Tamandua tetradactyla: one gene and its partners. The protein of the gene in region 2 interacts with the protein of the main gene of each other region in a pairwise test. Links are inferred from orthologs where the notes say so. Each region holds a gene or a part of one and is shown on either strand. Other genes may lie near its edges.

What was found.
Region 1: the proteins of ABI3 (region 2) and WAS interact in binary tests that used the Homo sapiens proteins (3 or more experiments, as listed by UniProt). The two-hybrid records come from large-scale screens. The link is inferred for Tamandua tetradactyla from reciprocal best matches to the Homo sapiens genes ABI3 and WAS.
Region 3: the proteins of ABI3 (region 2) and NUP58 interact in binary tests that used the Homo sapiens proteins (3 or more experiments, as listed by UniProt). The two-hybrid records come from large-scale screens. The link is inferred for Tamandua tetradactyla from reciprocal best matches to the Homo sapiens genes ABI3 and NUP58.
Region 4: the proteins of ABI3 (region 2) and EVL interact in binary tests that used the Homo sapiens proteins (3 or more experiments, as listed by UniProt). The link is inferred for Tamandua tetradactyla from reciprocal best matches to the Homo sapiens genes ABI3 and EVL.

Annotation. Positions count from the first base shown.
Region 1 is NC_135353.1:121,599,793-121,607,378, forward strand, and holds the start of WAS (actin nucleation-promoting factor WAS), read right to left. Parts: upstream 3,020-7,586; 5' UTR 2,913-3,019; intron 1-2,912. UniProt on the Homo sapiens protein: Effector protein for Rho-type GTPases that regulates actin filament reorganization via its interaction with the Arp2/3 complex. Important for efficient actin polymerization. Possible regulator of lymphocyte and platelet function.
Region 2 is NC_135332.1:30,417,838-30,425,373, forward strand, and holds the start of ABI3 (ABI gene family member 3), read left to right. Parts: upstream 1-4,530; 5' UTR 4,531-4,848; coding exon 4,849-4,965; exon of another isoform or gene 4,966-5,288; intron 5,289-7,536. Other genes in the region: GNGT2 (guanine nucleotide-binding protein G(I)/G(S)/G(O) subunit gamma-T2), read right to left, coding at 1,574-1,699, 2,132-2,215. UniProt on the Homo sapiens protein: May inhibit tumor metastasis. In vitro, reduces cell motility.
Region 3 is NC_135330.1:190,396,435-190,404,178, reverse strand, and holds the start of NUP58 (nucleoporin p58/p45), read right to left. Parts: upstream 3,015-7,744; 5' UTR 2,816-3,014; coding exon 2,709-2,815; intron 1-2,708. UniProt on the Homo sapiens protein: Component of the nuclear pore complex, a complex required for the trafficking across the nuclear membrane.
Region 4 is NC_135338.1:61,272,153-61,279,870, forward strand, and holds the start of EVL (ena/VASP-like protein), read left to right. Parts: upstream 1-4,713; 5' UTR 4,714-7,718. UniProt on the Homo sapiens protein: Ena/VASP proteins are actin-associated proteins involved in a range of processes dependent on cytoskeleton remodeling and cell polarity such as axon guidance and lamellipodial and filopodial dynamics in migrating cells.

The DNA of each region.
Region 1 (7,586 bases), on a different chromosome or scaffold from region 2:
AATAATGTCTAATTTTACTTAGTGTTTGCTGCTATGTCTTCCAAGGGCCTTACATTTATCAACTCATATAATATGCACAGACAACCTCATGAAGGAAGCACTACTGTTATCCCCATAGGGGATAGGGAAGCTGAGAACCAGAGAAGTTTAGACAACTTGCCCAACAACACATAGCTTGTAAGCAGGAGAGTAGAGGTCAACAGTTCCTAAACTGTTAGGTGCCATATGGCGGCCAAGATAAAATTCTGCTTCTTTTTTATGTCTTTTGTTCTCCACCTTCCTACTCCTTTCTTGGCCCCCAGATGTGTCCCTATAGCTCTACATCAGGGAACCCTAAACCTCTGCTACATGTGCTATTTTTTAAAATTAATATTTAAAAGTTGCATGTCACTCTTGAAAGTTGCATATTTCCTGTTTGTATTTCTAAGTAGCAAACAGGCTTATATCTTTTTCTTTAAATAAAAATCCTAAAGCAGATTTTGTTATTTGGGTCCTTAATAAAACGAGTTTCCCCACTCTGTAATACAGCAATTTTTGAATTTAGTATCATTGTTCATATTATAATATAGTATTAATTACTCTGTCAACCTGCATTAATAAATTGGAGCTGGTTTATACGTCTCCATTAAACAGTGCTTTTTGGCACTGGATAGCATTCGGTGAGGTGATGACCTCAAAGATAATTTGCTCTCCCATGCTTTCAAATAGGTTAAAAAACGAACCTTAATCCAACTTTTCTGATTGCTTTCACCAGGAGAGTTGGTCTGATACAATACAGGCAGCCCAAAACAGCTGGAAGCAGAAAGTCTAATTCACTTCTTATAATATTATGAACACCTACAAACCCCCAAATACCAGTGTATGCCCAATAATTTACACCCACCCATTGCTCCCCCATCATCTACGCCTGCCTCAAAGGGTACCAAATTGAGAATCATTTCCTGTTCATATCTTTGCTTAGTTTGCTTTCTTTGGGGAGATTACTGCCTATGCAATTCCCATTTCCATGCCTCAAGCCCTGTGACGAGTAAGACACAGTCAGTATTATGATCCCGGGTTGTTTTCCACATGCTGGTCACCACCACATGGAGTCCATGGAGGAGATCTAGGCATGGGGAGGGTCCAACTGCTGTCCTTTAAGATCAAGATAGAGGCCAGGACCGCAAAATTGATATTGCAATGCCATCCTTCTCCCCTCACCTTCCCACCCCTCATGGCCCTCCATACCCCTGAGGGGTGCTTCCTAGGGACAGGCCCAACCTAAGAAAACAATAGCTCCCAACCCTCAGACCCGATGCTCCGTTTTAATAAGTGTTTGCATTCAGCATCCTAAAATGACATGTATGGATGTTGTAAGTCTTTGTATTGTGGGACTGTCCCCTAGCCTTGCAGGTCCCTGCCGACTCAATGCCAGAAGCACCCCTGACACAGTGAGAACCACAAATGTCCCCAGGATTCCCAAAATACATCCCAAGGGCAGGTAGGAACAGGATCCTTGTCTGTCTTGTTCATTGCAGTATCCTCATCACCTCGCACAAGACCCTGCATGCAGTGGTAGAGGGTAAATCAATATTTGCTGAATAAATAATTATAGTCCAGATATCTATGCTGTGAATATACCATCCTCTTCCCACAAAGCTAAACTCATCCTCTCTTTACCACTGCCTCTCTGGTATCCCCTGGGAAAAGGGAGAAGAAAAATAACTCAGAACGCTGAGGGCCTAACCCCCTCCCATAAAGGCTCTACACTGTTCACTATGGAAAAATGGGTTCTTTAAGGGCCCTTATGAGAGCAGCTGATTTTTAGTCCTGGTGGGGGTGGGGTGAGTATAGGGTGTGCACAGAAAAGCAGAGACATCTGTAGAGATAAGAAGGGCTCAGTGGTCAGAACCCTACTGAGCCTTTTAGCCTGGCTTTACTGCTGGCCATTTACCAGCTGTGTAACTTCTGGCAACCTCTCAAATGCCTCAGTTCTCTCACCCACAAAGGGAATATAACAATGGTGGTTAGGGTTGTTGTAAAGATTAAATGAGAATTCATAGAAAGTGATTAGGGCAGAGCTTGACATATTATAATTATGCGTTATTGTTACTGTTTTTATGAATTAGCTGGGCAACCTAGATAAATGAAATATTATCCCTTTAGCCTAGCATTCACGCCCTGTTCTCTCGAGTTCTTCTTCACCCTTCTCCTTCCTGGATGGTCAAAGACCCAGAATACACGACCACTTTCCCACTGCCCTTTCTTTACTTTCTCTGCTGCAAAGCCCATCTCAGAGGTCCACTTGGTGGGACCCGGCCAGATTCCTGCAGTGCTGTGAGATGGCCCTGGAGCCCTCCCGGCCAACCTCAGAGGTCCCACCCACCAGGTTTCCCACTCCCGTACAGGAAAACACTGTGCTAGACAATAGCTCTACGGTATGGCTGCTAACCTGGATCAGCTGGGGGTCCAGAGTTCCCTCCCCCCTCCCCCCAGTCCCTACATTGTCCACACTCTCAAAGTCACCCCCAACTCTCCCTGGATGGGTGCTTCCTCCCTGCATCCCAATCTTTGTAGCTCTAGGAATGTCCACTCCTTTCAGTTGGTATGATCACAGGACTGTCCACACACCAGTTAGGGGACCCCAGGGCTGTGTTGACCCCAAGGGGACCCACTCCCCAGATTGCGTAAAGTCCGCAGCCTGGGACGGATCACCCGGGAGTAAGAATGAAACAGTCAGCCTACGATCCTAGCACTGGGTGGTGGCGGCCATCTTGTAACATACCACTTTTATTCTGCGGGGCTGGATTACTAAAGGCTGCCTCATCCCAACAAGAAGCCAGGCCCAAGCTCCAAACGGAGAGGAGAATGTCACAATCTTACTCGTCCCAAGCCTCCCAATTCCTCCCGACACCCACCCGCCTAGAGCGGACCTCACTTTCAGGCCCGCAGCCTCTCTCATATCCGCCATCTTAATTAACTTCGTTCACCGCCCACCCCTCGCTTCCGTAATTTCGAACAAGCTCTTGCCACACCGGAGCAGGCAATTGGCTCAGGGTGCGAGCAGATCGGGGACTGACGTGGGCTCTGATTGGTCGGTGAACGAATTCCCCTCCTTGCTGTGCTTTGAAGCCTCAGGGCTCTGGGAGAATAACATAGCCCCGCCTCCACTCCTGGGTGCCGGACTCTTATTGGCCACTGAATCGGGGCATGCGCAGTAGATGCCAGACCAGTGTTAGGGTCCGCTGAGGCAGGGTTTTGAAGATTAAGGGTGGTGGGTTCTGAAACCACCTCGGGCTGTCATTGTGTTCATCTGTAAAAGGAATGAGCATGGTGCTTTCTGTTGGGGTTTAAGTGAGATCACGCGCTGGGGCGTGGCACTTAGTGTCCTGGGTGATTCAATTGTTACAACTCTGTAACAAGCCCTTTAGGGTTTTCCTGCCTTCCCCCGTCGTTCCTGCATTCATTTATTCTGTGGTTTGCTCAAAACAAAAAGCGTTGCCTTCGGTTTGAATTTTAGGACAACTCTCAGAAGTGGTTTTAATAAAATTAAATTCTGCCGCAGTGGGACGCTTGGCTCTCCCAACACCAAAAAGATGCAGTGAGGCATCCTGTGGTATTTGGATACAAAGTAGTAAAATTATATTAGTTGACTAAGATACGGCCCAAAGGGATACAAAGTGTACAGCAGTTCAACGCTCTAATGGAGGGGCCTTTGACAGAGTGTATTTAAAAGAATAAACACGCTCCAGTTTTTGATGTGCCAAGCGATGGTTTCGGAGCATTAGGCCTGCCTGGTTAGACCTGAAGGGTTGCTGAGATTGACTCCTGTTATTTAATACACATCACAGGTGATATAGCCAGTCACCTGTTTTTTTTTTTCACTGTTTCTTTTGTTTGATTTGAAAATGAAATGTAGAAGTAGTTTCATGAGTATTTAAGACAGGAGATAGCTCATCAGTAAACACAGTCACAATATTCATAATGTAAATAATATGGAAACTGTACAGTTGAGCTGTCAGATTACAGTCCAAGATGATCAGTGTCTTTATGTTGCACTTATTGTTACATTTAGAGATCAGTAAATATTTTTTCTTTTTCAAATTTATTTATTAATTAAAAAATTAAGAAACCAAAAAATCAACATATATAATCAGTAATTCACAATATCATCACTTAGTTGCATATTTATCATTTCTTGGAACATTTGCATTAATTCAGAAAAAGAAAAAAAAGACAATAGAAAAAGAAATAAAAAGAAAACAGAAAAAAAAAGATTATACCTACTATACCCTTTACCCCTCGCTTACATTTATCACTAGCATTTCAAACTAAATTTATTTTAGCATTTGTTCCCCCTATTATTTATTTTTATTCCATATGTTCTACTTGACTGTTGACAAGGTAGATAAAAGGAGCATCAGACACAAGGTTTTCACAATCACACAGTAACATTGTGACAGCTATATCATTATTCAATCATCCTCAAGAAACATGGCTACTGGAACACAGCTCTACATTTTCAGGCAGTTCCCTCCAGCCTCTCCATTACATCTTGAATAACAAGATGATATGTACTTAATGCGTAAGAATAACCTCCAGGATAACCTCTCAACTCTGTTTGGAATCTCTCAGCCATTGACACTTTGTCTCATTTCACTCTTCCCCCTTTTGGTCGAGAAGGTTTCCTCAATCTCTTGATGCTGAGTCTCAGTTCATTCTAGAGTTTTTCTCAATCCCTTGATGCTGAGTCTCAGCTCATTCTAGGATTTCTGTCCCACGTTGCCAGGAAGGTCCACACCCCTGGGAGTCATGTCCCACGCAGAGAGGGGAAGGGTGGTGAGACTGCTCGTCATGTTGGCTGGAGAGAGATGCCACATCTGAGCAACAAAAGAGGCTCTCCTGGGGGTGACTCTTAGGCCTAAATTTTAAGTAGACTTGACCTATCCTTTGTGGGATTAAATTTCATATGAACAACCCCCAAGCCTGGGGGCTCAGCCTATAGCTTTGGTTGTCCACACTGCTTGTGAGAATATCAAGAATTCAGCTTGGGGAAGTTGAATTTCTCCCCATTCTCACCATTCTCCGAAGGGGGCTTTGCAAATACTTTTCCACTCATTGATCGAATCACTCTGGGATTCATCAGGGCATCACTCTGGAGAAACCAACAAAATCTCATGTCCTACCTGAGATTCCAAGTACTTATGGTGTTCAATCAAACTATCTACATAAGTTACATTAGGAAATGCACTAGTCAAAATATAAATTTTGTAACAAATAAGGATTTTTTGCTTTAGTCTCACACATAAGGTGACATTTTAAAATATTATCATCTATTTTTAGCACCCTGCAATAATGACATTCTTTTGTTCTTCCTCATGCAAAAACATTTTTAAAATTTGTACATTGTACATTTAGTCTCTGTTATTATACACTCCAGGCATTCCTAGATTATACCATCTCAATTTTTAACATCTGTCTTTCTTTCTGATTTCATTTATGTCCCCAGCCCTCCTCCCTCTATCATTCTCACATGCAGCTTCATTCAGTGTTTTAACATAATTGTATTACAGTTAGGTAGTATTTTGCTGTCCACTTCTGAGTTTTTGTATCCAGTCCTGTTGCACAGTCTGTATCCCTTCAGCTCCAATTACCCAATATCTTACCCTATTTCTATCTCCTGATGGTCTCTGTTACCAACAAAATATTCCAAGTTTATCACTAATGTCAGTTCATATCAGTGAGACCATACAATATTTGTCCTTTAGTTTTTGGCTAGACTCACTCAGCATAATGTTCTCTAAGTCCATCCATATTATTACATGCTTCATAAGTTTATTCTGTCTTAAAGCTGCATAATATTCCATCGTATGTATATGCCACAGTTTGTTTAGCCACTCGTCTGTTGATGGACATTTTGGCTGTTTCCATCTCTTTGCAATTGTAAATAATGCTGCTATAAACATTGATGTGCAAATGTCCGTTTGTGTCTTTGCCCTTATGTCCTCTGAGTAGATAGCTAGCAATGGTATTGCTGGGTCATATGGCAATTCTATATTCAGCTTTTTGAGGAACCGCCAAACTGCCTTCCACAGAGGTTGCACCATTTCAGTCACCTGTTTTGACGTTTACAATTTGAAAATTATGTATATATATATATAACCTGCCTTATAAAAGTACATGCAAATATGCATAAATAAATACATAATTTGTAGGATATGGATACATATGATTTAGATAAAGCAGTGGGGCCCCAGTTCACTGTCCTAAGTCAGTTAAATACTGAAGGAAAGGAGACCATTGATAATTTAACATAGTGACCAAAGGTTTAGGAGGCCTGAGCCCTGAGCTCCTTGCCTCCACCAGGCTGAGCAAATTCCCCTTAGTTAGCTTGCAAACTCCAGTTGTATAACAGGTGCTGCATCCAATGTGAAAACATCAGCTCTGATGCTAAGGAAGGTTGTTATTTTAAGTGTGTGGGTATTTGGGGGTGTGTATGGGTAAAACAAAGCAAAAGTTCAGTTGAAGTGTGGACACTTCATCACTGGATCTTTTCAATGGTGGCTGGATTCCTAAAATATATTTCATTTTAGTACCCCCACTCAGAGGCTATGGGAGGTGAAAGGTGCATTAATTTGTTGGAAATCTTGCTCTAATAGCTATAGTATGGTATAACCAAACATACGATAAGCTATATAATCTCTTTTTGGGGAAATGCACCCAAAATAAATCTTGCTCTAATGAATATAGTATGGTATAACCAAACATGCAATAAGCTATATAATCTCTTTTGGGGGAAATGCACCCAAAAGAAATGCAATTAAAGAAAATAGGAAAGAAAAAGAAAACTGTTAGCTTATGAGTTAGCCTATTTGAATAGACTAAAATGCTAAAAAAAAAAAACCCTCCAATAAAAGTAGCTCACACTGTAGGTCAGTTGCCCTTTATTATAAGAATTTTGTCACCACCATCAACCACACTTTAGACCTTGTTTACAGGCAACTTGAAGAGAAAGTTTGTTCTTGTTGGTTTTTTGGTGGCGGTTTGCTAAGTTTGGCCACTATGGGAAAACACAATATGTGTGTTTATAATCTTATGATCAATGGAACTTTCCAAGAATTGGATGATAAATATGTACGTAGACATGGTGTTAGCATGGCCTGTGTTAGAGCTGGTCAAGGCAGCTTCAAAAACATGTTTATTTATTTATTGCCAATGATGGTCTTCCTTTACAATCAAAGCAAAATATTTTAAAGATGAATTTTTCTTTCTGATTATCTTTGATGACTGAAAAACATTTTCAATGTTTAAAAGCATTTATCCTTTTGAAACTTTTTTCTGCTTCATTAGTAATGGTACTATCAAAGATGGGGTTGGAAACACTAGTTGTCAATGAAAGAGGGGGTAAGGTGTATGGTATGTGTGAGTTTTTTCTTTTTTCTTTTTATTTCATTTTCTGGAGTGATGCAAATGTTCTAAAAACCGATCATGGTAATGAATACACAACTATGTGATGACACTGTGAGCCATCGATTGTACACCATGTGTAGAATGTATGTGTGTGAAGATTTCTCAATTAGAAAAAAAAGATAGATGGGGGTACATGG
Region 2 (7,536 bases):
ATATTATCAACAGCTCTTTCCAACATGTAAAGTTAGAATGGGCATAGCCCAACCACCCCTAAAGACTGGGAGAAAGATCAAAAGAGAAGGTGAAGTTATAACAGAGAAGATAGGATTTAACTAAAGAGCATGACTGCTGAATCATTATTGATATTTCTACTAGTCTCCAGTGCCTTGGAGCAGCTAGAAGGAAAAACTTACAATTGTGAAACTGTAACCCATACCAAAACTCTGAAATCTGTTCTATAACTACCTGTTACAATGCACTTTGGAATCTACTGCTTTTTTGTGTATATATTATATCTCACAATAAAAATGTAAAAAAGAAAAAGAAAGAAGTCTTGGCCCTAATCTCCGTCTCCAGCCTCATGTTAACACTTCCCACCCACAGTTTATTGCCCTGAATGGATTACATTTTCTGTCACCTCCAGACTGTGCACTAGGGTTTGCCTACATCTGGAGCACTCTTCCCTTCTGGCTTGTCCCTCTTCAAAAATCATCTCAGTGGAAATACTAGGTCAATGAGAGGGAGGGGGTAAGGGGTATGGTATGTATGAGTTTTTCTTCTTTCTTTTTATTTCTTTTTCTGGAGTGATGGAAATGTTCTAAGAAATGATCATGGGGATGAATATACAACTATGTGATGATATTGTGAGCCATTGATTGTACACCAAGTATGGAATGTTCATATGTTACAGATGTTAGTGTTTGTTTCGTTGTGTCAATAAAAATATTTTAAAAATGAAACAAACAAAAAAATCATCTTAAAAGACACTTCCAAGAAGCTCTCCCTGACCTCTCCCCAATGAACTAGGATAGCTGCTGTCTGCTGTGTCCCCTCACTACCCTTGACTTCCCCAGTAGCACTTACTGACTTGATTGCAAATTGCTTGTTTCATGTCTCCTCAGCTCAAATTCCGTAAGAGTAGCAAGCATGTTAGTCTTATTCACTGTTCTATCCCTAGTGCCTGGGATGTAACAAGCACTCATCACTGCAAGATAGATCACGAAGTCACAAAATCCTGACTTTACAGACTCTTTTTGTCCTCAGGCCGTCGGGAGGATCTAATGACCAGGAGGAGGCCCGCAGGTTAGGACCTGAGATTGGGGGAAAGGCCCTCCCCACAACTTTTGTCCCCAAACTGTGCTGCTGTGGAAACCCATTTCCCCAGGGAAAAGGTAGGAGGGATTCTATGCAGGAGGAAATGAATCCTCAGGACTGCCCTCTGGGGTCTCGGCTTTCGCACTCTTCAGACCCCAACACGCAATCTGGAGCCAACTGCTAAGTCAGTAGAGCTCTCCACACAAGGTTTGCAAGGCGGATCGGCGGTGACCCAGGAGGTGGAGGAGATAATGGGAGAAAAGAGCTGAAAGTGGGATTGGGAAATAGATTCACGATGCATCCGGCCAGGCATATTTACTCTTTATGTGACTGAGGGCGCTGGGACTTCTGAGGCCGAGGGAGAAAGGTGAAGGTAGCTGGTTCCCGGGGGGTTACCCTGGGACGCTTGGTTCTGGGTGAGGAATGGGGCTGAGGAGGGACAGACATTCGGGGGGAGGGGCTCCGGTGCCATTAGCTTATCCTACAGGTGCCTTTCTCCCTGAAAGGATTCTTGTCCTCAGGGATGCCTTTGAGAAGGGGGTCATTTCCTGCTTGGGCCACCACATAATCCTTGATTTCCTTTCCCGTCTTGGAAACCTGTGAGGAAACAAAATACAGCCCCCGTTTGTTTCTCGGGATCTGTGCCATGGTCAGACACACGAAAACAGACTTCTGGAGCACGGTGGGGATAGGGGCCAGAGAGATGAAAGATGAGGGGGCAGGCAAGAGTGAGAGGGGCATGAGAGAGCTCCTTGAACTACAGAGACTAATTCTTGCCTTTGGGGAAGACTTTGGCCACACTCAGCCCAGAAACTGAGTTCTGCAAGGCTCAGAGGTGCTCTCTTGTGCTCAGAGAAGGGTCTCCACGTGGTCAAGCCCCAGCCTCCTCCTACAGGCTCCTGCTCCTTCCACTGCCCAGGAGAGGTCCCTCATCCTGTTTTCTATCGCTTACACCTTGGTGCCCAAGCTCCCCACAGGAACGGGAAAGGTTGAAGAAGTGGAGAGTGGGATGGGGATAAGAAGGCTCACAGGAGCTCTTGGGTTCCTCACTTCCTTCCTCAGCTGTTCCACCTCCATCCTCAGTAGCTCCTTCTCGCTGAGGTCCTGAGCCATTCTGCCCTGGAGAGTTCAGGTCCTGGAAAGTATTCAGGATTGTAAGCCCCTGGCCATCCTCTGCATGCCTCACACCCCAACTTCGTTCCTCTTCCCTGCCATATTCAGACCCCTCATCACTCAGCATACACTCCTGCATCCTTCCAGGCCCCAGGGACTAAGGCACAGTGGGAGAGGAAGCTACTGGCCTGGTGGAAGGCACAGTCTTTGCTCTTAGATAAGGGCCTGTCTAAGGAGGAAACAGGAATCCAGGGCATGGAAAAGGAACAGAAAAGGAATTCTGTCAGTGAGGAAGATTTGGAAGGCAAGGCTATGTCCTGTCTAATGACTCAGGTTAGAAGTTTTCTTTCTGACTACCAGATCCTGGCAGAGGAGAGTGTACCCTAGTGGTTAAGGGCATGGGCTTTGGGATCTGTCAGATTTCTGCTCTGGCTGCAGCTCTGCCGCTTCCTTGTTGTATGGACTTGGCAAGTTACTCAACCTCCCTGAGTCTTCGTTTTCCCCTCTGTAAAATGGGTATAATAATAGTACCTCCCTCATACAATTATTGTGAATACTAAGAAAATAATGCATACAAAATAATTTGATTCATTGCCTGGCACATAATGAACACTTTAATATATTTATTATTATTACCAATATTCTCATTGTTATTATCATTGCAGGGCTATCGAGAAGGCCTCCCTGGTAATGCCAAAACTAGATCCCAGCCTGGCGCAGCCTCAGACCCTCTCACCTGCCAAGAAGCAGCCCGCCACTTCGAGTCACTTGGCCCTGGACCCAGACGAGATGGTGCTTGAGCCTCCTAGCTCCTCAGCAGCTGAAAATCTTGGATAAAGCAGATGGTCTGGGAGCCAAAGTCTCTGCTGCCTAAGCTGATCATAAGCTCAAAGTTCTAAGCCCATCCACCGGCCTGAGCCTCTGAGCCCTCACTGCCACGGAGCAGAGCTGATGTTCTTCCCACCAGAAAACTAGGAACAGAGGCTACCCTCGCTCTCTCTGCCCCAAGCCCACCTTCTCATCACCCTGTTTCCTGTACTGCCCCCCACATCCTTCAGTGACCCCCTCCCCGGCTCAGAGTCCCACTGACCTCTAATTTCCACTCTCTAGCCTCACATACCCCCTGATCCCCAGCCTTCCCTCTCCCACCCCTGAGCTTATTCTGAAGCTGTTTATCCCAATAAGGCAAGTCCTAAACCACCTCCTTACGTCCTTCATCCAAGAATCCTTCATGTCCCCGGCAAATTTCCCCTTGTGAGGGTCTAGTTCCACCTTCATTTACTCAATTAATAAAAGCAGATTCCTTGCCTGTGAGGTGTGTGCCAGTTAGCACTCTAATGCCTGTGTCCGTACTCCTTGGCCTCCAACCTCCCCGGGAGCTGTGGGGTCCCCCTTACAGGCGCTTCCTGAGCATGGGACTCAGGTCTTTCCCTTGGTCTCCTCCCAGGACCACCCTGGGTCCCTGCCGTTTAACAGACCCTGAGCTCCTGCTCTGGCTGGCTGTGCTCCAGTGACGAGGGGTCCTCTTGAGGAGAAGATGTCCTCAGGGATCACTGTGATCAGGGGAGTCCTCTTAGTCTCCTGCCTCTAGGGTGACAGACTGGGCAGGGGTGGGGGGGCTGGAGAGGAAGCCCATGGCCATTCTGCCTGTTCACCTCCCCTATTTCAGGAGCCAAGTCCTACTCACAGCTGTGAAATCTAAGAATGTGAGCTTGGAAGGACCTGGAGGTGGTTAGGCCAACTCACCTGTTAAAGCATGGCATGGAGCCCACGCTCCTGTGCCCGGCTCAGTACTCCGGCCACTGCTGTTTCCTAAACCTGACAAGTTAGTCTGGAATTTGAACGTGGTGCTTTTCCAACTCAAGTCCTTCTCGTTGCCTAATCTGAGCCCCTCACACTGCACTTGGTCAGTTTCATCTTGTCCAGATTTCATCAGGCACAGAGCACGTAGAGCAGCTCTCCACCAGCTCCTTGTCGTACCTAGCCCTTCAATGACTTGGTATCACTTCTCAGAGAAGCCCTGGTTGTGTCCCTCCTGATGTCGGACCCTGGTGCCTCTTGCTGTCGGCATCGGCTGTTTTCCGCTGGTTGCGCACCAACCACCGCACAGGCCGCCCCGGCCCGGCTGGCCTCCGGACCCGAGCCACCCTCCACGCCCCATCCCTCGTGACTCATCCCTGAGCTTCCCAAGGAAGCCCCCACCCTCTGCCCTTTCCTCCCCCTTCCATGAGTGGAAAACCCATCTCCGCCCCCCATCGCAGGCCAGCCCTCTTCCTCCTCAGTCTGCCATTCCATCCCCCCACCCTGCAGTTTCCTCTCTAGGACCAGGGAGCAATCACAGCCACCCTGGCCTTGGCTTCCTCTGCTGGGAGAGATTGGGGCACTGGGCCCCAAAGGGGCCCCTGGCTTCCCCCTTCATCTGGGCAGGGGACAGAGCGTCACAGGCCCAGGGAGCAGGGACCGACTTCCTCTTGTCCCGGAATGAGTCTCCTGCCCTTCGCAAGCAGGTTTGGGTCTCTCACGCAGAGGAAACCAAAAGTAGTGAGAGGGAGGGAAGGCAGAGCGACCAATCAAGGGCAGGGTGAGGCTCAAAACTGGCGGGCTCCCCGGGGAGCCGGCCAGAGGCTGGGGCAATGGCGGAGCTGCAGCAGCTGCAAGAGTTTGAGATTCCCACAGGCCGAGAGGCTCTGCGGGGCAACCACAGCGCCCTGCTGCGGGTCGCCGACTACTGTGAGGACAACTACGTGCAGGTAGGAGGAGCAGGCGCAGCCTGGGAGCCCGTCCCCAGACGCAGGTCACGGGAGCCATCCCAACAGGTGCCAGGCAGGGCTCGCCAGATGGGGGACCTTGGCCGAGAAATCTGCCCACTCCAGGCTTTGGCTTCACCCTTGCCCTCCCAACTTTTAATCCAAACTTTAATGGGTTTTAATTTAAAACCCATGCCACCCAAGCCCTCGCTGCACCCCTTCTCCATCCCAGAGCCTCAGAGATGTCCAGGGCAACACTGTTTCATCTTTTATCCTGCTATCAGGCCTCACTCGAGGTTCATCGCCCCCTCCCCTTCCACTCAAATCCAGAGTCCCCACGGACTTGTCCTCGCTCAGATATTCGCGCCATTTTCAGGCTGGCTCTCTGGTGAGACTTCAGAAGAACTTCCCAATCATTGTCCATTGAAATGGACAAGGGAAGGAGGAATAAACCTCTCTTCTTGACATGGTGAGAGTGCAGACACACAGCAGGCGAGGCTGCGTTTCAGACGAGGGCTTATGCAGAGGCGGGGGATGAACAGCATGACTTCTGGAGCAGGGTGCCAGCAAAAGATGAGGATGGTGGTGTCATTTTAGAATAGTTTGTAAAACTGTGTGGTTGTTCCAGGACAGAGAATGTAGATTCCCTCATCAAGGGAAGAGAAGTGGGAAATGTACCAAATATTGAGCACCTATTATACCATGAACCCTCACAATGACTTGGTAAGGCAGGTATTCGTATTCCTGTTTTATAGATGAGGAAACAGCAGCTCAGAGAGGTGAGGGGGCTTGTGGACGGTCATACAGCTCAGAAATGCAGAGCCGGCCGTCCACCCGGGACTCCCTGTCTTCTGAAGCTGAGCTCTTTGCTTTCTATTATTCTGCCTCTCTGTGGGGCATTTTTCTTTTTCTTTCTTTTTTTTTTTTTTGGCATGGGCAGGCATCGGGAATAGAACCCGGGTCTCTGGCATGGCAGGTGAGAACTCTGCCACTGTGCCACGATTGCACCACTCTCCCTGACTGACTTTAAGACAGTATTCTCTGTCTTAATAACTACAGGTCAAACCTGTTACTCCTCAGGCAAAACTTCATTTTTCTAACTTGTACTAACCCAACTGTAAGAAGATGCCTGGGAACCTTCCTGGCCAGTTTTTCCTTTTGTTTTGTTTTTTTGGTGGGGGGGGCGGTGGGGGGATTGGAGGTGGGAGGGGACTAAGTGCTTACACGAAAATAGCAGATTAAAGAGCGCCGACAATCATAACACTTAGAATACTCTGTTCCTTCGTCTTCACCTAAGTCCTATGGGTGATCACCACCCCCAGTACACAAATGAGGAAGCTGAGGTTCTGAAAGTTTAAGTCATTTTCCCAGAATCTCCAAGCTAGTGGCAGAGTCTGGATTTCAGCCCAGAAACCTGGCTCCAGGGACTACCCTCTAAACCTCTAGTTGAAATTGCTATCCCAGGTACAATTTCAGTCCCAGGTACAATGTGCAGACATTGAGACAGCTCGTAGAGCAGCTGGAACGTGACCTGCAAACCAGCCCTGGTTCTCACAGCCAAGACAGCTCCGCTCCTCCTATCAGCAAGGACAAAAGGGCCTCTCCACTCCTCCAATAATCTGCAGCTCAGAGAACGTCTGGGTGGGCTCTCCTTTGCATAGGTAGTGTGCACACAGGACTCGGGGTCACAAAGACCAGAGACCAATTTCCAGCTCTGCCACCTTCCAACCGTAACACCTGTGGCAAGTTTCCCTGTTGGATTCTTATACCTTCTCAGAGGGTGGGCATGTGGGTTAAATGTGATAATGAATTAAACCATTTAGCCCAGTGTCTGTCTCTAAGAAGGGCAGAATAAATGGCGGCTATTACCATTACTATTATTATTATTATTATTAACGGCAGAAAGAAAAGGGACATTGCGAACCATAAAACTCAGTACCTTCCAAAAACACCCAGGCTGGAAACCCTGGGCTCCTGCTTCCTTTGCACAGCATCCTTTTAGCCCACACCACCTGCTACCTTTCCAGGCCTCTTTGAGGAGCTTCAGCTGGGGAACAAGTGCCCCAGTTTTGACTTCTCAAAACTGCTTCTAAACAAAGTCTGGTTCCCAGGCCCTCCGCTCTTCCCTCCCCGACCCAACCCCACCCCAACCAGGTGTCAGGAAACCCATGGGGATTGGGGGAGGGCAAGTTGGGGTCAACCTCAGCCCTTGGCTCTGTGGAGGTCTCTGTTAGGGTCGACCGAATTTACTGACAGAATAATTTGCATGATGAAAAGCAATCAGCCGTGAAGGCGGAGCCCAGACCCTTCTCCCTCCAGACCTGACTGTGGGCCAAGGACAAAGCCAGGAGGGGGCGGGGCCCAGGCTGTAGCCTCCCAGAGCTGGGCCTGAGCAGTCTCTTCTCCTATTGGCTCTGACTGTTCCTCCTGCCAGTCCTGGGATGGGGGAGAGGGGGGAACAGCTTGTTAATCCATGTGGAGACCAAGAAGCCTGTGGTTCTGCCTGGGCCCTCATTCCCTGCCCTACTGTAGGAAGGTCCTAAACTAGCACAGGGCCTGCTACCCTTTCTGGTG
Region 3 (7,744 bases), on a different chromosome or scaffold from region 2:
GACTTAGTCACTGCCCACATGGAATTTCCAGTCAGTGTGAGAAACAGACATTCATTCATTCAACAGATATGAACTGAGCACCAAGCACTTTATCCACTGGAAAAACAATGTGAAAAAGATAAGTTCTCTACATCCATGGGGCTTACATTCTAGAGTTGGGATCAGATAATAAACAAATAATAAGTAATTATACAAACTGGTATACAATTGATTACAGGAAAGGTGCTCTAAGTACAGGGTACCCTAGGCAGATAGGTCAGAAAAGGCTTCTCTCAGGAAGTGACCATTTGAGTCTCAAAAGGTAAGTAGGTAGGCAAAAAAAATAAACCTGTCATGAACAAAAATTCCCAGATAAACATATCGCATATCTGCCTCTGTGCATGTTATAAATAGATGTAGATATACAAATATGTAGGGAGGCACATTAAAAAAAAAAGGTAAGTAGGCCTTAGTAAAGTACATGGAGTAGTAGGGAATATTCCACATAGAGAGAATGGACTTTTCAAAGTGAGAAAGGGCTTGGGCAAACCTATCTGAGGAAATAAGAAAAGGCTGATGTCATCAGAGCAGAGTTTTTCAAACTGAGACTGGGACCCATTAGAGAAGCATAGAATCAATTTAGTAGGTTACAGCCAGTATTTCGATTTTTTTATGAAATGGAACATAATAGAAAACATCACATGAAAGGAGGTTAAGTATCTTTCTTCAAAACTTTATTTCAGTTATTTATTTGTGTACCGCTATGTGGGTGGTAACATAAGTGTTATTTTTTTTTAAGGTGGATCTGGATCATTGCAGGGGAGCAAAATAAAATAAAAAGATAGGCTCAAGATGAGTCTGAGAGGTTCCAGGTTATTTGGGCCTTGTAGACCACGGCAAGGATATTTTTTATTTCATTCTAAGGGTAGTTGTATCTTAACACCTAAAACACAGCCTAGCACATGAGTTAATTCAATAAATATTTGTTTCATGAATGGCCATAGCTTGGTGCAGAGCACTGGAAATGAACACAAATGGAAATTACAGAAATAAAATTACCAAGTCTTATTGATTAAGTGGGAACAGTGAAAAAGGAGTCATCAAGGAAAACTCACAGATTTCTGACTTGACAGTGTAGTCTGCAAGCCCTACTATTTAACAAAGGCAACCCTGAGGATATTTTTGCCTTTTTAATTTACAGCCCTATTCTTTCAAACTTCAGGAGGTATCTTGTAACTCATCCTCTGTATACCTGATTTTATGAACTTCTCAGCCTTTAGCTTCAAAATGCTGAACTCTAAAGATTAAATCTTTCATCATTAAAATGATCTTTCACATCTTGACCAAAAGCAAGAAGAGAAATGAAACAAAATAAAGCTTCAGTGGCTGAGAGATTTCAAAGAGTTGAGATCATTCTGGACTGTAGATATCCCATTTCGGTTTTTGTTGTATTGGGGTACCTAGAGGGAAATGCCTGAACCCTTCGAATTGTAATCCAGTAGCCCTGATTCTCGAGGATAATTGTATAACTATACAGCTTTTACGGTGCAACATTGTGATTATGAACTTGTGACTGACACTCTCCTCATACAGTGTATGAACAGATGAGTAAGAAAATAAAGACAAAAAATAAATAAATAATAGGGAGGGAAGAGGGGTTATGGGATGCTTTGGGTGTTCTTTTTTACTTTTATTTTTATTCTTATTTTTACTGTTCATGGAGTAATGAAAATATTCAAAAATCTATTGTGATGATGAATGCACAACTATATGATAATTCTGTGAAGCACTGTATATTTTGGATGGTTATATGGTATGTGAATATATCACAATAAAACTAAATTTAAAAACTATATAATTACAATTAATGATATAATTGTAATAATATTGGTTCATCAATGGTAACAAAACATAATGGGGAAAACTGGTGGGAGGATGGCATATGGGAACTGTACTTCCTGCATGATTTTTCTGTAAACCTACAATTACTCTAATTTAACAAAAAATTTTTAAAAATTGATCTTTCACCATCCTAACTGTCCCTTTCTGGACCTCTGCTAGCTATATTTTGCCACCACTTAAACTAGCAGGTTGTACAAAGAGGCTGACTACGCTACATTTTGCCATTAAAATTTCACAATGCGAGTAATAACATCATCTACGACACTATAACCTGTACAAACTGTACAAAATCACTACCAGTAAATGCTATTAAAAACACTTTTTAAAGGCGGAAAGGGTCCCATGTGCCACAAAGACTTGAAAGCTCGCTAAAAGACACCATGATATGTCAAATTCCCACTGCAGCGGAAACTGAATTATCAGAGAAAACCTAACCATCCTTCTTACAAATTTCCATTCATTAAGTGCTCTTTCTAAAACTCCATGATAAGCTATTATTTCATTCATTCGTTCCATTTTCATTCCACGCTTAAGACGGACGCTTCCCTAAGGCTCTGCAGTGGGAACCCTCAGGCCCTCTTACCCGCAGACCCCACTCTGTGGGAACAATGCCTGGCCCCTCCGTGGATTCTGGAGACCTCGCAGAGGCCGCCCGCCCTCCTCCCCACTAGGTCGCCAGCAGCGCCCGGGCCAGGTGGCGGCCTACGAGGTCCTCGGCTCGGCCGGTACAAATCTCCAGCCCCACAGGGATGGAAACCAAGAAGAGAGGCCCATAGGGGGTCCCACGGCCGAGGACCCGCGACGGGAAGGCGGGGAGACGCGATTACCTAGACGTCCCGGTTCCGAAGGAGAAGCCACCGGTCGTGCCGCTCCCGCCGGTGGCTACGGTGGCGGAGCCCAGCGTCCCGGTGCCGAAGGAGAAACCGGTGGACATGGCTGCACCCTGTGCCCGGCGCCGTCCACGGGCTGAGAGTAGTCAGGGTGTCCTCTCGCCTCAAAGCCGTGACGGGCTGGGAAGCATCGCTGTAGCCCAGGCCCGACCTGGCGGGAACCTCAAGCCCCAGCGACCAGGCCAAAGGGGTGGGACGCCGCGCGCACGCAGCTCGTCGGGAGCGAGCCCGCCGCGCACAGCACCCTGGGACGGGGGTGGAGTCGGCGCGCCCCGCATGGTACTCTGGGACGGGGGTGGGGCCGGCGAGCCGAGCTTTCTTGAGAGGATAAGTACGCAGGATTGAAGCAGAAGCAAAGGCAACCACTCTTTTTCCTTTTAGTTCTATTTTGACATTTGTTTTTGACGTTATCTATATTTTGTGTGTTTTATTGATCAATTATTGCATATATCCTGCCTTCTGCCAAAAGGGCACGGAGAGTCTTAGAGTGGAGACGGGCCCTACTGACCATCCACCTGCCCTTCCGTTTACGAAAAAGAAGGGGACTAATAATAATTCAGCTGTCCGTCCGACGAGCTGAGCCTCGATTCTGTGCTCAGTAACGTTCTGAGACTGAGTACTGGCGGTGCAGCCACTGATAGGGGGTTCAGAAACGCCCGGATAGATTTGGGGTGGCGACGGGGGCTGTGCGTGGTGCTGAGGGAACACAGGTGTCCAAGCTCCTTGAACCGAAAATGATTTAGACAAGTCGTCAAATAGTGTGAACGGAAGGGATAAGAAAAGTACAGAAGCAAGGATAATATACGGCGAAATTTAAGCGTTATTTTAGTCACGTAAGAAAAATTTGACTCCGAAGACGGCATCTTGTGACGATGGGACATTTGAGGTGCCGCCGCCGTCATAATGTGGGTCTTTATTTCTCCCCAGAAGTGGTTTTCTACCTGCCATCTCTTTGGGCAAAATCCATTCCATAAACGACCACCAGATTTTAGTCCTCCTGAAATACAGTTCTTACATTGACACAGACTTGATCAAAAACTCCAGAGATTCCATAATTACTTGCCAGAAACCTACAACCTTCCGTTGAGTTCCTAGACCAGTTAAATCCTGAAACCCGGGGGGACCAGCCTCTCCAGAACATCAGCTGGTTTCATCCCCTTAACACATTTTATCCGCAGCTCTTTCCAACATGAAAGAGTTAGAATGGGCATAGGCAAATACCCCTAAAGATTGGGAGAAAGGTCAATGGAGAAGGTGGAGTTACAACAGAGAAGATAGATTTAACAAATAAGTATGACTGCTGAGTCATTATATTGGTGTTTCTTTTCATTTCCAGTGTCTTGGAGCAGCTAGACTTTTAGAAGAACGTAAAATTAAGAAACTATAACCCATACCAAACTCTGAAATCTGTTCCGTAACTAATTGTTGTGGTGTGCTGTGGAATTTGCTTTTTTGTGTATATTTTTCACAATTAAAAAAAAAATTTTTTTTTAATGCAAGACACATTGTAATTGTTCAGTAAATGTTAGCTATTTTTTTTAAAATAGACCTCGGTATATGGACAGATGAGTAATAAAGACAAAAAATGGATAAATAATGGATGGGGATGGAGAGATGGGGACATGGGATGTTTGGATGTTCTTTTTTACTTTTATTTTTCTTTTTATTCTTTTTCTGGAGTAATGAAAATTCAAAAATTGTGATGATGAATGCAGTTATATGATGATACTGTGAATCAGTGATGGTACATTTTGGATGATTATATGGTATGTCAATATATAATATATACCAACAAAATTGCATTTAAAAAAACTCCCAGTGATTCCTTGGTCTGGCCCTCAGGGTTGTCCATTTGACCCATCTTTCCCACCTCATCTCTCTTAACTCCCTTAATGCAACACTTTCTCCTGTGTTGAGCCTGGGCATTCCCACCTCTATGTTTCCATAATTAAAACGAAGATAAATAGCATTGTAAACATTATGTAGATCACAATGGGAATGATAAATAAGAAAGGGATGGGACATATTTGAACACTATTATAAAGAAATTCATAGTGATTTACTGAACAGAAAAAGAAAAAATATGGGTTTTACAGAGAATGTTATTTTCAGTGATGGCTAAAATCTACAGTAGGGCGGGCCACGGTGGCTCAGCAGGCAAGAATGCTCGCCTGCCATGCCAGAGGACACGGGTTCGATTTCCAGTGCCTGCCCATGAAAAAAAAAAAAAATTAAAATCTACAGTAGTTCCTTTGAACTGAAACAACAAAAGATGGATTCAGATTATTTTGTGGGAAGATAGAAAGCTGCTCCTTATCTCTTTTCATTCCCTAGAATATTCTTTTTCAAAACTTTTGAAGAATACCACATAAAATTAATAAGAGCAAAATACTTGATACTGAAAATTGTTTATTAATAAAAAAGATATATAAGATTAGTTGGATGGAAAGAGTGTGTAAAAATATAGTAGAAACTAATGCAAGATAATAGGGAAAACTGGGTATGGGGTATACAGGAACTCTATCTGCAATAATTCTGCAAATATGAAGCTATTTTAAAATAAAAAGTTTATTAGGAAAATAAAGTAGGGAAGCAGGAAATAATAAATGTTTTTTTGTGTGGAAAGCACCATTCAAATTGACAACCAAATTATTCTTTCAATTTTATTTTAGAAAAATTTTAGTATAACATTTCTGCTTTGTATCTGGAAGAGTAATTCAAGTTATGCTGCAATAAAAAAATGACCCCCCAAAATCCCACAGGCAGGAGCACTACCAAGAGGGAAACTGGAAATACTTGATGAACAGTTATTCTATCACATGCGTCTAGATGCACCAAATGCTAAGACTGAACCTTAAAAACTATATCTTATCTCCTATATGTTCTTCTGTTTGTCCTATTGAAAAGAAGAAAGAAAAAAAAAACTTTACATCCTTAAATTCTACAGAACCATAACATCAAAGTGAGCAGTTTCAATAATCCCAATTGTTATCAGTTGAAAACTTGACAATAACCTGAGCTTAATGCCTACTAAAGCCTAAAGTCTACCCTCTAGCCAGGCAAAAACATGGAGAGCTGCAATTTGGCTTAGCATTCCTTACCTAGCAAGAGTAACCAATCCTTATTACAAGGGATGTTCCAAATATCACTGTCTGAAATTATGGGAACTGAACCCATGTGTCAGTTCTATGTGAATTACTGCTTTCCAAGGATGAAGCAAATGATTCTAAATTCTAAGGCAAGCCACTTCACTTCCTGTTGAGAAACTCCATCTGTTAAGAAATTCCATCTTTTGCTGATTTGCTGGCTGGATAATGACATTGTTAATGTCATAATCAGAATGAATTATCTGAAAAGCAATAGCACTCTAAAAACATTTCTAATTTTATTCGCATTAAACTCTATGAAGAAGCTTGTTTTGTACACAATTCATCTATGCATTCAGATCACGCTAATACTTTGAGAAGCTTCAGTTAAGTGATTCTAACATAGGAGGGTAGTGGAATCTGAAGTTATTTAAAAGGATTTGTAATATTCATGGTTGTGAATCTCAGAAATATCCAATGGAGAAGTTACCTTCAAGAAACTACATGTAAATATTTGTCCTCAGTTAAGGCTCTCTTTTGAAAAGTTTTCCCAGAATGGGTCTGTTCTAGTTTGCTAGCTGCCGAATGCGATATACCAAAAACAGAATGGCTTTTAAAGGGGGGAATTTATTACGTTGCAAGTCTACAGTTCTATAGAAATGTCCAATCTAAGGCACCAACAAGAGGTTACCTTCACTCACGAAAGGTCAATGAAGTTCAGAGTTTCTCTCAACTTGGAAAGCACATGGTGAACAAGGCAATGTCTGATAGCTTTCTCTCCAGACTTCTTGTTTCACGAAGCTCCCCCGGGGGCATATTCCTTCTTCATTTCCAAAGGTCTCTAGCTGCGTGGTTCTCCTGGCTCTGTTGCTGTTTCAAAAAAAAAATGTTTCCTCTTTTTAAAGGATTCCAGTAAACTAGCCAAGACCCACCTGGAATGGGTGGAGTCACATCTCCCTCTAATCAAAGGTTAATACCCACAATTGGATGAGTCACATCTCTGTGGAGAGAATCTAATCAAATTCCCACCCAGCCATATTGAATAAGGATTAAAGGACATGGGTTTTCACCACAGATTCAAACTGGCACAGGTTTTATCTTAAAGATTTAGATAGTGTCCTTCCTCTTTAAAAATCCTATTAAATTCTCAAATGATTCAACAACAATGATATGTATATAAAGAGATCAACAATGCAAATGTGACAAGATGTTAGAAACTAATGATTCCACAAGCAAGATATGCTCATTATACCACTCTTTCAACTTTTCTGTAGGTTTGAAATTTTTCAAAATAGAACATTAAGGGGCACAATACTGTAAGTGTAATTAACACAGCTGAGTCTGAGTATGAGAGAGGAAGGTTAGATCATGTGTATCACCAGAAGGAAAGCTAACGGATAAAAACTGGGACTATATAACTTGGCAAAACCTAGAGTAGATGATAATGGTGGTTAAGTGTGCAAAAATAAGAAAGTTCTTATATGAACTGGAACAAATGTACACCACTATTACAAGGTGTTAATAATAGGGTGGCATATGGGGAAACATATAATTAATACAAACTGAGGTCTGTAGTTAACAGTTACATTGTAACATTCTTTCATTAATTGTAACAAAGGCACTATACCAAAGCTAAATGTCATTAAATATCAATACTAGAAAGATATAAGGAGTATGGGACTTTTTTCCCAGAAGAAATGAAACTGTTCTCATATTGACTGTGGTGGTGAATGCATAAATATGTGATTATACCAAGAGCCACTGATTATACATTTAGGATAAATTATATGGTGCATGAATGAAACTGTTTAAAAACAAAGTTAAAGGGCAAAAAAAAAAAAACTAAAGCTAAAATAAGAATCCCCAATCACAAGTTCAAAAGACTGG
Region 4 (7,718 bases), on a different chromosome or scaffold from region 2:
GCTATACTGACTGTGGTACTTTCAGCTCTACCTTCCTACAATTACGAGTGTCTAAATTCTCTTAGTTGCTTGGGTAGTAATTTGCATTTATGGATCATCTAATTATATGGTCTAGATGAAGAATTTTCCCCCCTTGTGACTGAATCTTTCTCCTTTGTGGCAAACATTATTATCAATTTGTTCCTTATTTTTCCAGTGATATTTTATGCAAATACAAGCAAATGAGTGTAGTTGTTGTATATGTATACATGTGTGTATTCTTTTTAAAAATTTTTTTTTAACTTTTTTATTGTATAGTATAACATATATACAAAGCAAAGAAATAAAAAGGCAATAGTTTTCAAAGCACTCTTCAACAAGTAGGTACAGAACAGATCCCAGAGTTTGTCACTGGGCACCATAGTGATCTTTCAGAATTTTCCTTTTAGCTACTCCAGAATACAGGAGGCTAGAAGACTTAAATATTTTTTTATCACCTCAATCACCTTTTTTCTTTCTTCTTTGTGAAAAATAACAATAGCTATTATTGTATTTGATCCTCATGATTTATTTGTGAGGGGATAGGTCAGGAATTATCATCCACATTTGATAGGTGAACAAACGGACTCCAAGAGATAAATTGACTCACCTGGTAGGGAGGAGCCCAGATATTCAGTCCCTAACTCAGTGTTCTGGCCACTCACCAACTGCATGGCAGAACCAGGATTCAAGAAGACCTTTAGAAGAAGAACAGCCAGTTGAAGTGGGGAAAAAAATGAACATAACAGGTAATATAACATTTTAGACACCCTGCATATTGATTTACCATTGTAGATTATCATTTTAAGTTTTTAGGTATATATGCCCTGTCCCTGACTCTTTAAAAGGCCTTAAATGTACCGGACTATTCTTTGACCTCCCTCTCCTCCCAGGGATGTAGCAGTGCTAGACACATAGCAGGTGCCCAGTAAATATTCCTTGACTGGATAAAAGCGTTCCATGCTTTTGTCTTCTTGATTTTCTCTCCATTCCTGAAACGACTTTCTTGGCAAATTTCTGAATATCAGGGTGACATTGGAGCAGCTGCATATTTTCATTCAGCAGGATAGTCTGCCCATTTGTTTGACACTTGCCCCAGAAAGAGGACTGCTCACTTAATCCATGTGCACTTTCTTATGAAATCTCTCAGAATCCACAAACCTTGATATGTTTTGAATAATTCTGCATGCCAGAGCCATAGGTAGAAGAGTAAAGAGGAGGTAAGATCCTTCCTTTCATAGAGTTGTCACTTCCTGGAGCTTATGGTCCTGGTGGAGTTCTTTGTATTTCTGTTGCAAGATTTTGCATCTTTGCTGTGTTTCATTAGTGATCTAAGAACCTCACACAGAACAATTGAATTGTGAGAGAGACTTGCTCCAAAATGTGCCTAAAATCATCAACTTCTCACTTGTTTACTACTGTCACCTGAGTCCAAACCCATCTTCTCTTATCTAGACTACTGCAATGGCTTCTAACTGGTCTCCCTGTTTACATTTTCCTTTTACAACTGCCCAGTGGGTTCCCTGGCTGATAAAGCCCTACTTACCTCTTATCTTCATCCTTCTTGGCCCCTTGTACAGCTTCTTTGCTCTGCATGTAATGCTCTTCCTTCATATTTGCATGAATGACTGCTTCTTGTTATCCAAATCTCAGCTGAAATGCCGCTACCTCAGAAGGGCCTTCCCTGTCACCGTTTCCAAATTTAGTAGCCCCCAGATTACTCTCTCCTACATTGCCCTATTTTGTATCCTTTTCCTTATTTATTAGGTTCATTAGAATGTAATCACCATGAAACTGGGGGCTTTGACTTCATTACTCCTCTCTTCACAGAAGCTAGAATAGTTAAGTTTCTAGCACATAGCAACCCTTCAAGTTTTGTGGAAGGATTGAAAGGTTAATTTTCAGTAACCTAGCACAGATATTTAGAGTGTGCTTATATGATGAGAAAGATGAATATAGACTTGAATTCAGAAGTAATTACCAGTAAAGTCCTACTTTTGAGTATTGGTTGATGGAAAAACATATGTATTTTATGGTAGTATTTCACTTAAAATTGAGGTGAAGGATGGTTTTATTTAAGACTTCTATTTTAAAATTAAATATACTAAAGAAGTTCAGTTGAATGATGAAATTTGGGGGTAAGACTTAGTCCAAAGTATAGAACTCACATTTAAGATTTCCTATCACATTTAAGATTTCCTATCAATTCAGCAGGTTTAATTTAGTTTTGTTTTTAATTTTTGGAAAGGTTAATTCAACAAGAATAAAAAGGCATTCAGTAAATCCAAAGCCTATCAGCTGCTTAACTTGTCCTGTGCCTTGTGAAGGCTTAGAAAGGACTGTAAACCTTGGTCAGTGCCTGTTTTAGTTCCCTAAGCTGCCAGAATGCAGTATGCCAGAAACAGAATGGCTTTTAAAAGAGGAATTTACTAAGTTGCAAGTTTATGGTTCTAAAGTCATAGAAATGTCCAAACTAAGGCTCCCACAAGAGGTTACCATCACTTAAGAAAGGCTGATACCATCCGGAATACCTCTGAAACTGGGAGGACATGTGGCTGGTGTCTGCCAGGGTCTCTGGCTTCTGGACACCTCTCAGCCGGAAAGACACATGGCAACATCTAGCTTTCTCTCTTCGTTTCATAAGACTTTTCTGGGGGTGTTTTCCTTTTTCATCTCCAAAGATCTCTGGCTGTGTGGGCTCTGCTGGCAGTAAAGCTTTGTCCAAAATGGTTCCCTCTTAAAGGGCTCCAGTAAGCAACCCCACTTTGAATGGGTGGTGACACATCTCCATGGAAACCATCTAATCAAAAGTTACTACCCACAGTTGGGTGGGTCACAACTCCATGGTAACAATTAAAAAGATCTCACCCAGCAACATTGAATGAGGATTAAAGAACATGGCTTTTCTGGGGTACATGATAGTGCCAAACCGGCACAGTGCCTGAATGCTGTCCAGAATTGGGGGATACTGGCCCAAAGCATCATGAATTTAGCTTGAAGCTGCCCTTAGCATGCTGTTTTTCCTCGGAGGGGTCTGTGCATTTCTGGGAGTGAGGACTAGTGTCTAGTGGAGATTATGGGAAACTGAGCTCTTCATGTCTCCCCCATGCCAACCCCACTAGTCCCTGTCCTCAGTGACACGTGTGCGTCTCGTTAGAGATCTGAGACAGGAAAGTGGGCAAAGGTTACTCAGAACAGGACAGGATGTAAGATTTTAAAATGGATATTGATTATCAATGGGAATTTTGGAGATTTAGTGCTCACTAGGGGCTGGTTTGAGTCAGGAGGGGTGCATACTAGGGTTTTGAAGCATTTGCCATAATATTGTTGATTGTGGCTCACAGGGGCCAGGTATTTCATTTCTGCAGCATTCCCACAGAGCAGGTGCTACCTTCTCCCATCTTAAGAGGCTGAGACTGGGGAAAACTTGCCCCTGCCTTCTCAGGGAACATGAATAAAACTAGACTCAGCACCACACCTTTCCATACCCACTTGTGAGAGAAGGCATAAAGCAGGTTTTCAAGAAAAGGTGAGCCAGGAGTGGAGGTGGGCTGGGACCAGCCAGGGGTCCATGAGGAGACATGCATGGGAGGTGGGTTGAGGGCATAATGGGCCACCTCACAGAGGAACCAAGACTCTATTCTGCGGACCATGAAAAGAGGTGTGGGTTTAATGGAAGTTTGCCAGAGTAGGAGACTGTGCATAGAAGACTGTACAGGAAGAGGTGAGCCTGGCAGGGGGACCAGGCAGAGATGAGGAGGCTCTTATTTAGAGGGTGGAAGAAATGAGAAGTAAGGGGATAGAAGCTGGGCCATTGAGGAGACTATAGAGAAGCTCTTGTTACCACGTAGGCCCCTGCTTATCTGAAAAATCCTTGGTTGGGCCATGAGAAAAGAATAGTATTTTAGTCACCATAGGAACTGATTTTCACTTTTTTCTCCTGTCTCACATCTGTGCACACAGTGGGGAATGTGTATAGCTCAGAGTGTCCCACACAGTCCTGGCACTGGCAGGGACTGCTGGAGTCATTTCACGGGGTGTTTTCAGACTGTGTCTATGTCTGTCCCTACTGAAGAGAAAGTAAAGCGTAGCAGCAGGAACACTGGGGGTCCCTCCATCCCTTCTCAACCAGAACTCTTCTGCTTTTATCAGTTTTGTATTTTAGGGTTCATATTAAGTGTTATTTCAAAAAGAAAGCAAAGACAAAAACCAAAATTCTGAATATCTGGCTGTTCCTTCGGGGTAGAAAGGGAAATTGAGCCCCGGAGTAATAACAACTTTGTCTAAGTCTTTAGTCATTGCTAGATGACTTAGAGTGACTCTTTTTGTTGTTTAATCATTGTGTGGTCACACAAGTGCTTTTTCAAGTCCTGGGCTGGAAAGGTGTAGAACAGTCATGGAACCTCCTTTATGCCCCTGTTCTTGACACTTTGGCCAGGGCCAGGTGGATAAAATAAACCAGAAGGACTCATAGATGCAGGTCCCAAAACCCCAGTGGGGCATAAGGGTTAAAAGTGGTGGAGTCACCTATATTCTGGAGTAGCTAGAAGGAAAAATCTGAGAGGATCGTATGGTAGCCCATGACAGACTCTGGGATCTGTCCTGTAACCACTTGTTGAAGAATGCTTTGAAAACTATTGCTTTTTTATTTCTTTGCTTTGTATATATGTTATACTATACAATAAAAAAAAGTTAAAAATAAATAAATAATGGTGGAGTCAAACCAACCTGAATCCCAAGTTATTGCTCTGCCATTTAAAAGCTCTAAGACCCAGGGCAACTTATTAGATACTTGTCCTTGGTTTCTTTATTAGGAAAGAAATCTCATAAAATTACGTCTAAAGTGCATTTTGTGCTGGGATTTGGAGATTTTTCACCATTTCTATCCACTCGTCTCTCTACTAGGACCTTATGAATTTTCATACAAGATATAACCAGCTCTCCAACAGGAGGTTTGAATCACTGGTGGAAAACAGGCACTGTCTAGAGATTGTCCATCCCATTAGACCTTCTGTTACACTGGACCTACCTTGTGGGTTTTAGCAATGCTAAAGCAAATTAGACCAGTTAGCACTGTGCCAGATGCCTAGAAATTCAGACTACTACTCTTCCTCTTGTACTTTGCAAAGAGAGCCGAGAATGTAGACTTCCTCAAACTAACAAATCTATCAAAAGTTATTTGTGTATCTATGGTTTGCTAGCTCTGCCCTCAAGGTTGTGAAGGCTCAGTAAAAAGATGCTCTGGTAAGTTCCCCCAAGAAGTTTGCTTCTGGCTGACTACCAGCTGCTCCTTTCTCCATCCCACCTGAGTAGATCCAGGTAGTCATATAATTGTATTTGGTCTGGGTGATTGCTCTTCCTAGGACTTGGGTAATCTCAAAACTGTTGTTTTATTTATTTTTTTAACCTAGAATTTAGGACAGTGGTTTTATACATAATACATATGTGTCCAAATAAATAAACTGCTAGTGAACAGACAAAATGCTTCAATTAGGAGGTATCCCTCATCATAAAGATGAGCCTTCCAGCAGTCCACGCTGTCCAGGGAGAGGCCATCTTGTGAGATGATAAAGATGATGAATGATGACGTGTCTTTATACACTTGATAAAGGATTTTACAGCTCCATTATGGGGTCCTGACAGCAATCTCTGAGAGAGGCCTGGGCAGTGTTACTGTTATTCTATATTTAGACCTGGAGACTCCAAGACTCAGAGAACTTAAGTAGCTTGCTAGCAATCGCAAAGCTAGTATATGGCAGAATTGGGACTTAACACTGAGTTCTTTAATGACTGAATCCCCTGTTTTCTGTGATAACCATGATTCTGCCAGAAGCTCTCAGCGGAGAGGGCCCAGGTGGAGGCTTGTCAGGAACATTGTGGAAGGCATTCCTGTACCAGCTTAGTACATCATAACTGTTTGGTTTGAGGGACCACAGGAGTCCCCAGAATAGTGTCCTCACTAGTTGGCCTGCCTCAGCTTGTCATTATCGCTTCATTTCTTTGAGATGGAACAAACTATAGACAGAAGGCCGCCTCTGGGCACCTTCGTGTGAACACAGGTACTAGATTGCCTGTCTCCCTAATAGAAAACTGAGGCACATGGAGGTTCACTCTACAGACCATTACTGAATAACTGTTCTGGTAAGATATGTTCAAGGCATGAGGAATACAAAATTAACCTCACACAATCCCAGCCCTTGATGAACTCACAGGTTTCCAAGGGAGTAAGGGGGGAGGACAAAATGCCAGCTTGGTATGCAGTTAGCAGCACAGAGGGGACCACCAACTGTCCTAGGGACAGCTCAGGGTCCTGGGGAGGCAGCCAGCAGCCGAGGGACAGCATAGGCAGCACAGAGGGTGCAGGTCAGGATTAGGGAGCAATGAATAATATGGTCTGGTTGGCCCATGGACCCCAGAAGGAAGATCTAGGCATATTTTGGGAACTGGAATGTCTGGCTGAATTTTGAGGTTTTAGAAGTGTTTTGATGAAAGAAAATTGGAGCAATAAGATTGTGCAGGCCAGGCCAAGGAGTTTTTACTCATCTTGTGGGCACCAAGGAACTAAAGCAGTTTTAAAGTGGGAAAAGGGGCATCAATCAGATTTAGAAAGGTTGCTCTACAGATTTTTAGAGAAGGGACAGAAGAAGACGACTAGTAACAAGACTGACTGAGAGATGATGAAAGCCATGGGCATGGGGATGGGGGAAAAGGGCCAGAGTCAAAGAAGTCATCCTAAGGAGAATCAGAATCAGTGACTGATTACATTTGTGGTGTGAGGGAAAGAACAGAAAAAGTTAAGAATGACTCATGGGTTTTTATTTGGGATTTGTCTCCCTTCTTTTTTCAAGATTTGCAATGCAAAGGCTGAAGATTCTCCTTAATGGCAAGTTTCAGAATACAGCCTCAGCTCATTTGGCAAATCTTGCCAGCTTGGGCTTTACAAACTGGTAAACATTTCTCTCTTCTTTTGGCTTGCGTCTCATTTCTTGTTTCTTAATTTCTGTTCTGTTCTGAAATTATTATAGTAGTTGTACGTCAAGGAATTGATGAGAACCTAGTATATATTAGACACTCAATAAATGAATAATCAAATAGATGGGGACACTAACATGGTGACATGCAAGGTAATTTGATTGGGGTGAAGATGAGCACAAAGTGTGATTGTTGAGATTCTGTTGCGTCTTATGCATTTGTGTGAAAATGAAGCTTGGTAATGGAATGGTAAAGCACAAAATTTAGGAGAATTTTTCAGTGAACTGACTTTGGGTAAAAGATAGCCTGTGTATCATTATTTGCTGTATTCACTTATAATTCTGGTTATGCTTGGTCATTAGAGCAGCCACAGCCATGGGAGGATGAGGTAATTAGGTAGTTCATAATGGAACAGGTTGCTTTCTCATTCCTTTAAGCTTTTCCCACTCTCCTGTAAAATTCTGGGGGTAATAGTGAGGGAGTGGTGGTGTTTCATGATTACCCATGGTCCCAGGCATGCCCCAGGTCCAACTTATTTCACTAGACTAATCCAGCTCCCAGCCTGGAGCCTTAGCACACACTGCATTAATCAGACTTGCTGGAATGATCACATGGTTTTCTCGCTGCCTCCCTGTTAACTGCCGCTTGTCAGCAGCTGGCAGAGCTGGAGGCTGCAGGCCCATGTCTGCAGAAAACCTTTTACTTCAGGATATTGGGAGTGTGTGGAA